Kluyveromyces lactis: one gene and its partners. The protein of the gene in region 3 purifies or fractionates together with the protein of the main gene of each other region. This does not show direct contact. Links are inferred from orthologs where the notes say so. Each region holds a gene or a part of one and is shown on either strand. Other genes may lie near its edges. The genes, in order: SIS1, YRA1 and KAP123.

Evidence for each region.
Region 1: the proteins of KAP123 (region 3) and SIS1 purify together in Saccharomyces cerevisiae (affinity purification with mass spectrometry; 3 studies listed by BioGRID). This does not show direct contact. The link is inferred for Kluyveromyces lactis from reciprocal best matches to the Saccharomyces cerevisiae genes KAP123 and SIS1.
Region 2: the proteins of KAP123 (region 3) and YRA1 purify together in Saccharomyces cerevisiae (affinity purification with mass spectrometry; 4 studies listed by BioGRID). This does not show direct contact. The link is inferred for Kluyveromyces lactis from reciprocal best matches to the Saccharomyces cerevisiae genes KAP123 and YRA1.

The regions. Positions count from the first base shown.
Region 1 is NC_006040.1:409,991-414,435, forward strand, and holds SIS1 (type II HSP40 co-chaperone SIS1), read right to left. Parts: upstream 2,690-4,445; coding exon 1,625-2,689; downstream 1-1,624. Other genes in the region: pseudouridine synthase CBF5, read left to right, coding at 1-739; TOR complex subunit LST8, read left to right, coding at 3,372-4,283. UniProt on the Saccharomyces cerevisiae protein: Required for nuclear migration during mitosis. It is required for the normal initiation of translation. Might mediate the dissociation of a specific protein complex of the translation machinery. Essential for viability.
Region 2 is NC_006041.1:254,632-260,208, reverse strand, and holds YRA1 (RNA-binding protein YRA1), read right to left. Parts: upstream 3,251-5,577; coding exon 2,996-3,250; intron 1,760-2,995; coding exon 1,346-1,759; downstream 1-1,345. Other genes in the region: COI1 (Coi1p), read left to right, coding at 590-913; AFI1 (Afi1p), read left to right, coding at 4,092-5,577. UniProt on the Saccharomyces cerevisiae protein: RNA-binding RNA annealing protein. May have a role in pre-mRNA metabolism. Component the TREX complex, which operates in coupling transcription elongation to mRNA export.
Region 3 is NC_006041.1:1,848,846-1,854,422, forward strand, and holds the start of KAP123 (karyopherin KAP123), read right to left. Parts: upstream 3,200-5,577; coding exon 1-3,199. Other genes in the region: SBF complex DNA-binding subunit SWI4, read right to left, coding at 3,677-5,577.

The DNA of each region.
Region 1 (4,445 bases), on a different chromosome or scaffold from region 3:
GGTCACCCTACATGATGTTATGGATGCACAATGGGTATACGATAACACCAGGGATGAATCCTACCTAAGAAAGATCATTCAACCATTAGAAACTCTATTAGTCGGTTACAAAAGAATTGTTGTCAAAGATTCTGCTGTTAACGCTGTTTGTTACGGTGCCAAGTTGATGATTCCAGGTCTACTTCGTTATGAGGAAGGTATTGAATTATATGACGAAGTTGTATTAATCACCACCAAGGGTGAGGCCATTGCAGTTGCCATTGCTCAAATGTCTACTGTCGATTTAGCTACTTGTGACCACGGAGTTGTTGCCAAGGTTAAGAGATGTATCATGGAAAGAGACCTATATCCAAGAAGATGGGGTCTTGGTCCAATTGCCCAAAAGAAAAAACAAATGAAGGCTGACGGTAAGCTAGACAAATATGGCCGTGCCAACGAAAATACTCCAGAGACCTGGAAGAAGACTTACGTTTCATTGGAGAATGCTGAACCAACTACCGCCCCTGCATCCAAATCAGAAGAAAAACCACTGATCAAAGAAGTAGAAAAGAAGGAAGTCGAACAGAAGGAAGAATCAAAGGAAGAATCAAAGACACCAGAAGAAAAGAAGGACAAGAAGGAAAAGAAGGAGAAGAAGGACAAGAAGGAGAAAAAGGAAAAGAAGGAGAAGAAGGAGAAGAAGAGAAAGGCTGACGATGATGAGTCTTCCGAGAAGAAGAAGAAGAAGTCAAAGAAATAAACGACTACAATCTAAGTCCTTCATATCATCGATCGAAATTTCAAAACTGCATAGAGTTTATCATTTAGGTTATGTACACTGTAGAATATTTTTAATCATTGAAAAACGTATTTCGTCACGACTGTTTTTTGTACCCTGTGTCGATGTTGTATATCATTGTATTCGTATATATAAATTTGTAAATTATTTATGCGCGTGTGAAGACACCATTACGTCTTCAATTGAAGTAATGGCAAAAAGTAATGGTAAATGTATGAGGTAGATAGAAGATTTGATAATAATACTTGGAGTTTTTTTTTTTTTGGCAGACATCAATTGTTCGGAACCAAATAGAAGTCGGGAAACTTGCAGATTGGTATGTCTTTTATTTGCATGATGTCATTTGCTCAATAAAAAGGTAAATGAAGGTTAAAATCTATGCAAATGGTTACATTGTGAACAGAAGTCGAGGTGTCACAATGAAACGTCCCGTTTCTTACTTTACCAGTATTAACAATCATTGAATAATTCTCCTTGTATTCTCTCGCATATTATATTGCGTCCTCAACTTATGTTGCGTGCTTCATTTACCGAAGGATATTTTTTTGAAAATAGTGTACAGTGTGGTCAGAAAGTTAACGCATTAATCGACAGACAATGTAGCCATACGATAAGATTGCTTCTGCTGAAGTGAATGTGAATGGAACATTTGAATTGGAAATAATTAATGGGAGTAAACATTTAAAGAAATGAAAACATATGACATAGAACCATAATGGTGGGAAGATAATATTTCTGGCAGACGTTGAATTGTAAACATGATCACCGTCAGAAGTCTAAATTTGCAATCGTCATGTCATACTTTTATGATTTATTTTCGTTATAAAGACATTCTTCATCTTTCATTCAGAAGTTATCCATAATGGCTTGTCTTTGTTGAGGTGTTAAAGAGGTTGGATAATCGATCTTGAACTTAATAATCAAATCACCTCTTTGGGAAGGATTCTTTGACAGTGTCATACCTTGTCCGGGATATGTTGAGGTTTGAGTAGGTTGAATTGGCTGCGTTCTTGTGATTGGAATTGTTTTACCGTCGATGGTTTGTACTTGCTTGGAGAAACCTAGAAGAGATTCTTTGAAAGAAAGTGGTAAAGTGTAAATCAAATCATTGTCTTGTCTGGTGAAAAATTCGTGTGGTTTTTCCTGTAGAACGAATTGTAATGTTTGTCTACCACCAGTTCTTGGATTATAGTCACCTTCACCTTTGAAAGTAATCTTGGTACCTGCTTTCCAACCTGGTTTCAATTGGATGTCAATTTGGTTCTTTTCGGACACACCACCGGCGCCTTTTCTTGTGATCTTGAATGATTTCTTCTTACCGCTGAATAAATCTTCTAAGGACACAGGTAGATTGACCTGAACAACTTCTTCTTCAGGTCTAGCCTGTTGTCTACTGAATCCACCTGGCATTCCACCTGGCATTCCACCTGGCATACCGCCTGGCATGCCGCCCGAAGAGGAATGGAAACTACTGCCTCCAAACCCGAAATCATCACCAGACCCGCCGCTAGCAGAGAATCCAAATGGAGAAGCACCTCCGGCAGCACCTCCTCCACCAAAGAACTGTGAAAAGATGTTGAAAGCGTCATCTTGTGAGAACGCATGTCCCCCGGCAAACCCACCAGAAGAAAATCCTCCAGGCCCACCAGGCCCACCAGGCCCTCCCGCTCCTCCAAATTGAGGAGCATTACCACGAGCAGCCTCTAGACCATAAGTATCGTAAACTTCCCTCTTCTGAGCATCTGAAAGAATCTCAAAAGCCTCAGAGATTTCTTTAAACTTCTCAGTGTCACCTGTAGGCTTATCTGGATGATACTTCAAGGCAGCCTTTCTGTACCCTTTTTTAATCTCGGCTTCACCTGCACTAGGCGAAATTCCTAGCAAATCATATAATTTAGTGTCCTTAACCATACTCCTACGACGTTTCAAATTTGGTAATTGTCCTTTTGTATATATGTCGAATGATAGTTCAAATTAGCTCTATCTAAACTAGAAGAATTAGAGTAAACTAAAAGAATCAGTTAATGTTTACACTGTTTCGAGATACCAATGGGACAAAAGATGCAATAAAACTCTTCTCTAAACATGTCGATCGAATACCAACGACCAATAATCTTTGAACGAAAAACATCCTGTTCTTTGAAAACCTTTATATAACATTTCATTCCTATATATTCAGGTTCAGTTCTGTTGCAACCGATCATGTTCTTTCAGAGTATACCCTGGAACCTTCTAGAAGTAAAAAAACATGAATGCTTTAAGCACGCGAGATTCATGTGACAATCACGTGATATAGAAGTTTCCCACCAATACAAATCTGTCATCACAAAGCCGCAAATCAGGTGTCATTCAATGACATTAGCCACTACACAATCTTGTGGCTATCTCTATGCCTCCACTTTTGTTTCAATTGCTGTTGTTTATATCTCAATCATGAATATTGACAAATTATGGTTTAATGTGATAAAGAATATGCAATATACTAGATGAAAGAAAGTCTTAAGGAATCTGAGGAGTTTTCAAGGCTTTTTCTCCCCTGTGAACAAGGTAGAGGTTTCTTATTGTGTACGGTCAGACTAACTTCAATATTGCCATGTCTGTTATTCTAGCGAGTGCTGGATACGACCACACAATTAGGTTCTGGGAAGCTTTGACTGGAGTCTGTTCACGAACCATTCAACATGCAGATTCCCAAGTGAATCGATTAGAGATTACGTCCGATAAGAAATATTTGGCTGCTGCTGGTCATTTACACGTCCGTCTTTATGATATACGGTCGAATAATCCAAATCCGGTGTCCTCTTTCGAAGGCCATAAAGGGAACGTAACGTCGATTGCATTTCAACAGGAAAATCGATGGATGGTATCGTCTAGTGAAGATGGGACTATTAAGGTTTGGGATGTACGGTCCCCATCTGTGCAAAGGAATTACAAGCATAATGCACCTGTCAATGAAGTAGCGATACATCCGAACCAAGGGGAATTGATTTCCTGCGATCAGGATGGGAATATCAGGATTTGGGATCTTGGTGAAAACCAGTGCACAAACCAGCTGACACCAGAAGATAACACGCCATTACAGTCGTTGTCCGTTGCAAGCGACGGATCGATGCTTGTTGCAGGAAATAACAAAGGGAACTGTTATGTATGGAAGATGCCTCATCACACGGATGCTTCCACTTTGGAGCCCGTAACTAAATTCAAATCGCATACTAAATATATTACCAGGGTCCTACTATCGGCGGATGTAAAACATTTAGCAACATGTTCAGCAGACCATACAGCTAGAGTATGGAATATAGAGGATAATTTTGAACTTGAAACCACTTTAGATGGTCATCAGAGATGGGTGTGGGATTGTGCGTTTTCAGCAGACAGTGCATACCTAGTCACAGCATGCTCTGATCATTATGTAAGATTATGGGACCTTTCCACAAGTGAAATTGTAAGGCAGTATGGAGGACATCACAAAGGTGCTGTTTGTGTTGCTCTTAACGATGTATGAAACTTTAATCAATATCTCTAAAGAAGGGATATGCGACATAGCATTTTATTGTGGTTTCGTTGATGTAGTAATTTAATAAAAAGATCAAAACTATGGATATCAAAACTCTTATTTACTTTCAACACTTAGATATATATAAAGATGACCTGCGATGATACTGGA
Region 2 (5,577 bases), about 1.6 Mb from region 3:
AGTGTCATCTTAACATACCAGAAAGATTTAGGAGTATTCATGCTGAGAGACGGTCTATTTTTCTTGTCTACTTAATTCGTCCAATCCGAAGATACTAGTCTCTTCTCTTGCAGGTTGCAGGTTGCAGGTTGCAGCTTCTCGAACTCGGTCAATATCTAGGCACAAATAAATAAATGAACAGGTAGTTGCTTAACGTTATTACAATCTGTATGATAATGGTGTGTGGAATAAGGTGAAATCACCATGAGGTCAACATTTTTTTTCTTTCTTTCTTTATTTCCGCAATGGGTTACGGCGAACCTTTCCTCAGCGAAAGAAATCTAAGGAAAATAAAGATTTGAATTCAAATATGAGCAGGAATCAGAGATACTGAGCGAAAGTAGTAGAGGAATCAGTTAAATAAAAAACAGATTGAGAACAGCATCATAGAGCGTGTTGATAAAAAAATAGATCCTGAACGGAAGAAGGAACTATTCGGATTGAGTGACGAACCATATACCAACTTTGAGTTTTTATTTTTATTTGGCTTTTGGTTTCTAGCATTTAGCATCAGAGAGCAAACTTGGTAGATACAATCTTTTCAATAAAAATGTCTAACCCATTCCAAAATATTGGTAGAAACTTTGCGTATTTGTGTATTGGTCTTACTGCTTCTATAGTTATCGTCAAGACCGTTGTACGTGATGCTAAAGTTTCCAAGTTCGACCCGCAGAATTTGAGTGGGGATGAGAAGAAAGATGCAGATTCTTATTACGCAAACCCTGCTCTGGTGAAACCAGGGTTCCCCATGAAGAAAGAAGAAGAAACCACGGAAATAAAAAGGAAAAGTGAATTTGAAGGGGCCGGTTTATCCTACAATACAAGAAAGCGTGGTGATAGATTAGGGTTCTTGGATAGAAGAAGTAACGAATGATTAATAAGCAAGATTTTAATTCTGCAAGGCAATACACGAACCTACCCATCACACTTATTTATTAACAACACACACAAACACTGCAATGACTAAATGAAACAATCTAGAAATATATCCTGTTCTTTACTGAAAGATTCCTCATGTAAATAGTGCTTAAAGAAAGTGAAATAAAATACAAACTATTGATATCAATATTATAATAAAGTTTAGCTAGGTAAGAAAAGATAGGCCGAGCACATAAGAAAGATACGGATTTTTTTGATTGAGAAACCACGCAGTCACACCGGTTGAAATTGAGGAATATAAAACAAACAACAAATGAACTGAACTTCTAGGATGTCTAACGAATAGATTCGAAAGCAGAGACAATCCGTTCGTTATTAAGGAAGACTTTATAATTTCTCAGTCCAGTAATTTCAAGAACGCAATATCTTATTTGGATTCTTCAAAATAGTCAGCCATTTCCTTGTCTAAGTCTTCCAAAGACTTCTTTTCTGGCTTAGCTCTTTTCTTTTGCTTAGCAGCAATGGCTTTCTTGTTTGGACCGGCTGGTTTCTTCTTAGGTTGAGGCTTTGTTGGAGCTGCCTTCTTGTTTGGCGCGGCAGCCTGAGCATTCTGTACAGGGCGGATTCTGTCCAATAATGTCTTTCTGCTTGGATCGACAATCAACGTCAATCTCAATTTGGATTTACCACCATCAATTGGTGCGTTGTGGAATTTCTTTACAGCTAAGTTAGCTTGTTCTGCGTTCTTAAAGGTAATAGTGGCCATACCAGTGGAGTTACCCCTTTCGTTGTAACTCAACAAAGCTTTTTGGACACCACCGACTTGATGGTTGAAAAATTCCTAGTAATAATAAGGGAGCAAAATTTTTGTTAGTGAAACTATTCATAGATAACTGAAAACAGCGGAGTCTTCAATGAATAGTCCTGTAGGAAATCATTCATGTTTACAATTCATCATACATGTACGACCCGGTCAATTCTGTCACGATATGAAGTTAACTCTTAAACAGTAAAATATACCACAAATGGGTTTCATTAGGTTTCGATTTGAAGGTAGGATCTAACATGACAACCAACAAAAAGTAAGTATACTATAACTTTTCTCTTTTCTATTTTTTTTCTTGGAGAGTAAATCTGGAGTCAGTGATGAGATCTCAACCAGACAAGATAGAACATGTTCATAGCAGAATGACAAATGAAAATCGATTTCAAATCCAGCATACCCATCTCGATTTATTACATTCATTGAAACTTGCTTTTCAGTGGCGTTTCAATTTTTGCCAATTTTTTTGAAGTTGTCAAACACGACGACCTTGCTAAAAATGTCGCACTATCTTGAAGATTGAGGCATCAAGCTAAACACACACCAAGGAAGAGGTCAAACTTAATTGTTCCTACAAGGTGTACACCAAGTAATCTTCTTCAAATTCCCAGTTCTTTGCAAAGAGTTAGAAAAAAGAGAATAATACACTGGGCATCATTAAAAAATAGATGCATTGCCAAATGTAATAAATGGTAACAGAAACTCCAGTGACACATAATGTCACAAGAATAGAAGATATGACGAGAAAAAATAGATATACTTCATCTTTTCGGCATTTCCCAATCGTGATTCACTACCGTTTCTCCATCAAATAAAATGTCGTAAATAAACGAAGTTCAGTGCATAATTTTGATGAAAAGTTCTGTCAACTTAGAGGAGAAAAACGGAAAGAAATCACAAAGGAAGGCTTGCTGAAAAGCGAAACCCAGCCAATTGGATAGCTAATTTCGTTTTGTTATATTTCATTAGCTCAATAAAAACTAACTCTGAAATAAATTATTCACACATCAATATCAGACCTCAAAAAAGGTATCGATCGACCGTTTCTTCTTAATCAAATACACGGGAATGTATGATCGTATAGTAAACATAAGGATGGAATTCCACAGGATATATCCGTTGTAAACTTAAATTAACCGCAAGTCTTATTGCAGTTTGATCCGATTTGTTTTCGCAATCAGTACAGTAGCATCTCGACAGTCCTTTTCATTAGAAAAGAACCTACTAAGAGGCCATGGCTAAAATGGGACATACTTTAACAGCGTCTTGGTTAATGTCTCTTGGCAAACCCTCGACATTAACTCTAGTAGAAATAGGAGCTCTTAGCAAAGCTGGCACTAGGGCAGCAGCAGAAGCAGCCTTCTTTGGAACTCTAGAAGGACCGGCACCTGTTCTGGTACGGCTCTTGTTGACTTGCTTAGAAACCTTCTTTGGCCCGGCCTTGTTGTTTCTTCTGGCATGCTTGGCTGAGCCAATAATTTCATCTAATGATTGATCTAGAGCAGACATTGCTTATGAGAGTGTAAAAAAAAGAATCTGATGGGTAGCTGATTCGAAGGAAATAACTTATAAAGTTGCTTGCCTTATGAAGTAGAAACAAAGAGAAATTTGAAGAACAACTTTCATGGAAAAAGGGAAAAAAATTCCAATGGGCAAAAATCTATGGCTCCTTTTATACAAAAAAAATCAAATATCAAACTTTTTGTCCAATTCTTTTCAAGAAAATCAAAACCAGCACGATCAACAAAAGAGGGTAACGATTGTCATTTTCTAAGATCTGCTGCATATGTAACGGTGTACTTACTTCATTCCTGACATGATAAAGATTTTTGTGAATAACAGTCATTTCAAAGACTAAAGATAATGCTCCATAATTTCGTCGAGGGGACTCATTTGTTTCCAACAAACATCGTTTAGCTTTATTTCGTGAATTGTAAGGCCGCAACAACTGAAAAGTAAAATCCGTTGATATATAAGATAGACAGCTATTCGATCAATCTTATGTTCAAATGGATCGCTTCCGCAGATAGACCCAAGTAGGCTGTGGCGGGAATCTTACAACGCTTAGTATCCAAACATTCTTCTATGCCTTCCTGTCATAAGCGAATAGAAGCCGAATTGAATCCATTTACAGTCCGGGTAATTTCATGATTATTTCACTGTTAGCGATATTATTTGGTTCATTTTATTTGATCGGTTCAAAAAGAAAGACGATGATGGGTCAAAATCGTGCTATTTTACAGCGAAATGATACAGACGTCTCACTGGCAAGTTAAATCTCCGAACGACGGTCAGGTGGTAAACGGACTGACTCTGTAATTAAAGAGGAAAGACCGCGCGTTCACCAGTTATGAAACACTCTTCCAAGGTAAAAACAGGATTGAACTTTCACCTACGACAATCTCAAAATGAACACACACACTCTAACCCCAATGTTCAATTTATAATAGCGGCAGAATTTGATAACAAATCTGGGCCGATAATAAAGCATCAATATCCAAAGACAATCCCTGGTTTTAAAACTATTGGGAGTGATTCCACTTGTTCTCATTTGGCCAGTTTGATGATACCGAATAGTGTGGAGAACCATCCAGGTAAACCAGATTTCACTGTTTTTGTCTTATACAAGAATCAAAACGTTTACCAGTTGTTTCCTGTATCCAAAAATAAGACTAAAGGTACTGACTTGGATTCCTCACTGATAATTGAAGAGGAAGACTTTGAAGAAGAACAAGAAAATGGACTGCGAAGTGGTAAGATTGGATCAATTAGAGATGATAGGCATTTAGAGGAAACTGAGCCACCATTATTTTTCTTAAGTGTCGTGAACACGTTTTTAGATAATTCAAATGATCGCGGTGCTTATATAAAAGCCATTGCACTGGGTACTACTATGACAAACTTTTACACATTTAAACCATTGTTAACAATGGTGCTTGATCACTACATGACATCGAATAACAACGATATTAAAATACTTATAGACTGTTTTGACATGATTAACAGTCTTGATCTCTCTTTGGTCATAAGATTCCATTCCAATGTTGTACTACAAAATATTCTAAACTCTATCAATGACGAAGAAATTACATCCAAAATATTTGATGCAAACGAAAACTCTTTGCCCAATATACTTAGGGTTAATGAGCTGCCCAAAAAAGACAAGTTCGGAAATGAGATTCAATTTAAAAACAGGATTCTTGAATATAAGTTCTCTACTTTCCGTCCCAAAGTTCTACCTGCTTATTTTACGAGGATTCCTTTGCAAATTGATCTAATAAAATATGATGCCATAAAAATAGATACGAATTATAATAATTCAATTTTGAAATTACTTGCGAGATTAATTCCTCTCTTAACTGAAATTCCCGATTCCACATATTCTTGGAGATTAATTATTAACTCCACAGAGCGTTCCAAGGATGAATTATGCCAATTTGTACTCGCCCTATCCAATCTCATAAACGGGTTTTCTTCGGAGTATTTTGATAATTCCTCTATTTGCATTTTTCCATACATGGAAATATCAATAATCGATATGTTCAGAGAAAACTTCACGGAGGAGTTCACGAAAGGGAATTTTTTCAGTGTAGTAGGTGTATCAAACCCTATTTTCCAATACCAAGTTGATGCATGGGACTTTTACTATGACTTGGATAGTGACTCCTTACTTAACTCGAAGGCGCTACCATCAGAAGAAGAAAATGCAGAGAAAAATCTGGGGATTAGATCAATGTTTAACAAATATACCACCTCTCAGGTGCATCCACTTCCAGCAACTAAACAGCCGACCCCTAAAAGTGGTTTAATGTTGAAAGTCATAAACCTTCTTGTCA
Region 3 (5,577 bases):
CTAAGGTAGAGTTCGTCTCTAATTCAATTCTTTCACTTTCCTTCTCGAAAACAGTTGCGAAAATTGCGATGACCTTTGGTGCTTCATTGATGATGGTGCTGTTTTGCTCTTGGAATAACTTCAAGAATAATTTGAAGATCGGATCGTATTCTTCGAATGCAGTGTTGAATGGCAAGTGCGAGAGTAGAGCTGGAATGGTGTGTTCCAGTGGAACTAGGTTTTGGTGCTTCAAGATCATTCTGGCCACACATCCGCATACGTTGGAGAAAGTTCTGTCAACGATTTCTTTGGTAGCTTCATCATCTTCAGTAGCTAAGTTCTTTTCGTCAGCAACGCTCAAAATTTCGTATAAGGATTTTAGAACTGGAGAATAGATAGCAGAAACATCGAATGATGAATATTCAATCAACAAACCAACACCGTATGAAGCATTACATCTGACTTCTAATGATTTATCATTAGTCAAACTGATGATCAAAGCCTCTAACAATTCTTGAATGAATGGGTTTTCATCTCTCATGCCTAAAGCGATTTCAGATAGAGCACCGACGGCAAAGGATCTCTTGTTCTTGGACTTGGATTGGCACAATTGCAAGATAACCGGCTTGGCTGTAGTAAACACTTGGGCGAAACCACCAACCAAGTTAGTAGACAAAGCGACATAGATGTCTAAAGCGACGTCCAACAAAGTAGCTTCGGTTTCTGAGGCATCTAGATCTTCGTCTTCTGGGACGTCTTCTTCGAAATGGATGGTTTGACAAGCATGTTCACCCTTCAAAACGCTCAAAGCTTCACGACATAGTTGATCCAAATGGGTAGAGTCACCGTTATCCATGATGATGATTGGACCAAACAATCTTAACATTTCAGAAAGATCTTGGAACACGCTGATAACCATAGAAGTTTCAACCTCTTCGATAACATTGTTCAAAGAAACTTCTCTAACAGTTTGAATAACGGCTAACGCGCTAGCATCGACATAAGAGCCTGATGGAACACCCTTTGGATACTCACCTTCTTTCAAGTTGGCAGTCAACAAAACAGCTTTAACAATAGCCCACATGGAGTGTAGAGCCGTTTCTTTCAAACCATATGACTCATTGACTTGCTCAGCTAAAACCTTCAAAGATGGTTCAACGTATTCCAAGAAGTGTTCTTTGGAAGCAATGGCTAATTCTGACAAAGCAGCAGCAGCAACTTCCTTTTCGTATGCGATACCAGTGTTTACGGTAAATTTGCTTTGTAGTTCTTCTTCATCCAAATCTTCGATGCCTTCCAAGAAGTCTTCGTCACCGTCAAAGTTAAATTGGTATTCTTCTTGTTCGAGAGTTTTAAATATTTCAGGAATGATGGTTTGTAGGAAAGGAGCAAAGTCCTTACCATAAACCTTTGCCATATTGGCAATGAAGGCGTAACCAGACTCTCTCAATCTAGCAGAATCAGTTTTGATAGCTTCGTAGGCAGCGTTCACCAATGGCTCAGCATATTCAGCAAAAGCAGCGGATTTGACCGCTCTACCCATGGTGGAGATGTTTTCGAAAGTCAAGGCCTTCAATTCAATGTCGTCTTCAGACAAACCTTCGATTTGGGAGACGTTTTGAATAAACTGTTGCAAGTATTGAACAGATGTCTTGAAGTATGGAACAAATCCTGATCCGGCAGCAAAGGCACAAGAACCAATTGCAGAAACAATAGCAGCTCTCAATTTTGGTGATTGTTGGGTTTCCAGCATTTGGAACAATTTGTTCATTAATGGATCCAAATATTTAATGATATCATTGTGAGCAATGAATTCTAATAGACCATCCAAGGCAAGAGTTGCGTACTTGTAGATAACCACATGCTTAGCAGAGTCAATGATATCAATCACTAGAGGCAAGTATTGCTCATGATATCTAGCAACTTCGTCTTGCAAATTGGTACTCAACTGCACAATACATTTTAAAGCAGCTAATTGCACGACTGCTTCAGAGTCCTTCAAACCAGTAACAGTGGCAGGAATGATTTTATCGAATTGAGATAATGTGTAATCTGGAGAGCCAGTAACCAATACAGAAATTGCTAACAAGATTGATCTTCTTTCGAATGGGTTAGAAGAGGACAACATGGTTGGCAAATGTTCGATAATAGGAACACCGACTTGAGATGGGGATAGTTCCCCAGAAGCGTTAGAAATCAATCTGAGAGCAGTCAATGCTGGGGTGTTTTCTTCGTTCTCACCGGCTTCGTCTTCATTAGTCAACTCATCTTCGACATCAATTTCTTCCGAAGCAACCTTCAAAGCAGCCAAAGTGATCTCTGGACCCAATTTGGCTTGGTTTATTTTAGATTTTCTGTAAACTAAAGCAGAAGTAACAAATTGTACTGCAAACACTCTAATATCTTCATCGACATCGGAATTGACGGCAATTTGTAAAGCCAATTTGACCAAATCAGCAATTGTGTTACCAGTTAATTGAGAGTCCAATAACAAAAAGTCATTTAAACAGTTGAAGATTAGCTTTGTGTTAGTAGTATCACCTTCTCTGATGGTGGCATCCAGAACCTGGACGACGGAAGGAATCAAAGAAGCAAACTTAGCGGCATATTGTGGATTGATTTCACCTTCTTCTTCGATTAAAGAGGAGACGTAACTCAAGGCTTGCGCAGACAAAGATCTTGTCTCCAATGATGCAGAATCGTTAATAGTTTGAGCAAACAAGTTCAAGAAATCATCGATGTGTAAAGCCAAGTTAGCATTAAAGGATTCCAAAAGGGACAAGATAATGAAAATAGCAGTTTCTCTAATTTTTGGGTTACTATCACAAGCAGCTTGTAGAAGGTTTGGAATCAACTCTGGCCATTTCTTCTCGTCTAATTCTTCGGATCCAATGGAGGCAATGACACGGGCATTAGCATGGCGAACAGCATCTTTTCCTTCGTTAAAAGCAGAGTTCAACAAGGATTGCTTTACGCTTGTTTGAGTAGCAGCATCAAGAGAACCCCAGTGCTTAGAAACTTGCTTTCTAGCTTCAACACCGGCTAGTTGCTTGATACCATCATTTGAACTGTTTTGCAAAATGTGAATCAAAGCCGGCAAAGCAGCAGATTGAGTGTAAAATTGTGATTGCAAAGTCTTGGTAGCATCCTTCAAAGAACCTGTAGGTTGAACAATAGCACCTAAAGCTTGCTCCAACTGAGCCACAAACTGTTGATCCATAACGGGGGGGGGGGGGGGGGTAGCTTTGGGTATGTAATGAGTTAGCGGCGCACTAAGGACTGACGTACCGGTTTATAAAACTGATAATAAAATCACAGGCCTGAGAAGTTGTTAAGAAAAGGTTTCACAACAAAAAGAAGAAATACAGTCTTTACTCCTATGGGCTAGGGTATACTTATTCGAAATGAGCAACCTTCAAGATCCTTTCGCAACAGAAATGAGAACAGTAATCTTTTTTACCTCATCGCATCGCATCGCATCTCATCTCATCTCAAATTTAATTCTTTTTCAATATCAACACCGAAAACCAGAAACCAAAAAAAAAATTATGTTAGCTACAGTGGGCTTGTTGCTTTTTGTTTCGTAAGTTATGATATTTAAGATGAATCTTATAAAGGTAAAGTCTAAGTAATGGGCCGTGTGCATTTTATACGTGCACCGTATGCGTAAATAAAAGTCATTAAAAGTTAGAAGTCCTTAGCGAGACTGAGTCTTTTCCATAGAGCTTAGGTCCATCTCGATGTCATTCAACTTAGAATCGATATTGTCTATGGACATACCAATAAGTTTTCTGAACTTTGATATTTTACTATCTGAAACCAGTTGATCTCTAGCGTATTTGATATTCCTAATCATTTGTCTTCTCTTGAACTGCTTGTAACACAATTCTACCATCAATTTTATGGATTCTTTCTTTTCGAATTCATTAGTAGCTTCCGTAGATGAGTCCTTTGAGAGACAGTTTTCCTCATCCTGTACTAATGTAGCAAGTGACAGCGCTTGCGACCGCTCCATATAGTTATCCAATTCAATGTTTTTCATCTTCAGCTGATTTTGGGCGGATCCCAACGTATTTCTATTATTTGAATCGGAGAGTGCCTTTTCTCTTGCGTTGGTGTGCTTCAGTTGGTTCTCGATCTCTTGGATTTGCTCTTCTTTCAGCTGTATACTATATTGAAGATTATCAAGATTATCTTCAATTATGTTGCTCAAAGATTGAGTAAGAGAACCCAACTGAGCAGTAGACTTGATGGTTGGAGATGATGATTTTTGTTCTTTTCGTACTCTTTGAGCATCAGGTCTACGTAATCTGTTCACAGGCTTCACTAATGTTGGTGGAGATGGTGGATGCAATTTAATTGCTGGAGTTAAGGATCCTTTCATTTTATCAATTGATAAGACATCGTTACGGTCGACTATGTTGTTTTTCCTAGTTGAAGTCTGTATACTATCCACTGTGGTGTCATTGAAGTCGTATTTGCTGGTGTCATCTATACGCTCTTCTTGACTGTTTCGAGGAGTGTTCGCCAAGAAAGTTGTCTTGGGTGGAGATTGTAGAATCTGGGCAGGAAGCGTTGGTTGAAATATATTTGGAACTGTGAAACGAGACAGTATCATAGATACTGTCTGATTTTCACCGTTAAGAATATCTGGTGACGCGCCGAAATATACTAATTTCTGGCATAAATCAACGTTCTTATTGAGGGCTGCTAAATGTAAAGGGGTATTTCCCAATGTATCTTGGTGATTGAGTGACATTCGCAGCAGTTTCTCATCCTCCTTGGCAAGTGTATCCAATATAGTGTCCATATAATACTCTATGACATGAGGTTCTTTGGACCTGTTTACTGTCAGCTCGACTAGGTAGTGCAAGGGTAATCTATGATTTGCATCTGGTGTTACTAGACATGGATTTAACATAGATATTATTTGTTGGAAAGAAACGGCTTTGTAACAATTGTTGTAAAAGACTGATTTTGTCAAACAATTGAAGCCCTTATCATTACAACGGAGAAGATCTGCGTCTTGGACTAGTAGTACTCTAATCAATGGAATGTTTGACATAGCGACAGCCCAATGTAAAGACGTATGTCCTTGGTCATCGATTAAGAAGTTTATGTCCAAATTGGATGGAGGCCTATAAAGTGCTTCGGGTAGCGTAGGTTCCACGGAATCGTATTCTGAAGATAAAACCTCCAAAATGAGTTCCTTATAATATTCTGTGGACACACCGTTCTTATCATGAGCTGATGAGAGTGGAGTTGGTGATTCTGATGAGCTAGACGAAGCTTTATCGTTGGAGGAGAAAACTTCCATTGAGGATCCTGTGGATGTAACGTTTGAGATCATAGACCCAGAAGAATGCCCCATATTATTACTGCCAGCATTGCCCTGCGTCATTTGTTTTAGTATTTTCATGTTATGCTGAGATTTCATGTTAGAGTTGACTGGCACTGGAGCCACGTTGTTTGTAACAGGTACCATTTGTTGGAACTGGTGTGTTTGTGGGTATGGATAAAATTGCAAAGGTTTCTGAGTAGTTTGGTATTTGATTGGATGGTTTGCTTGAGAAATAATATCAGGATTCACCTTACTGA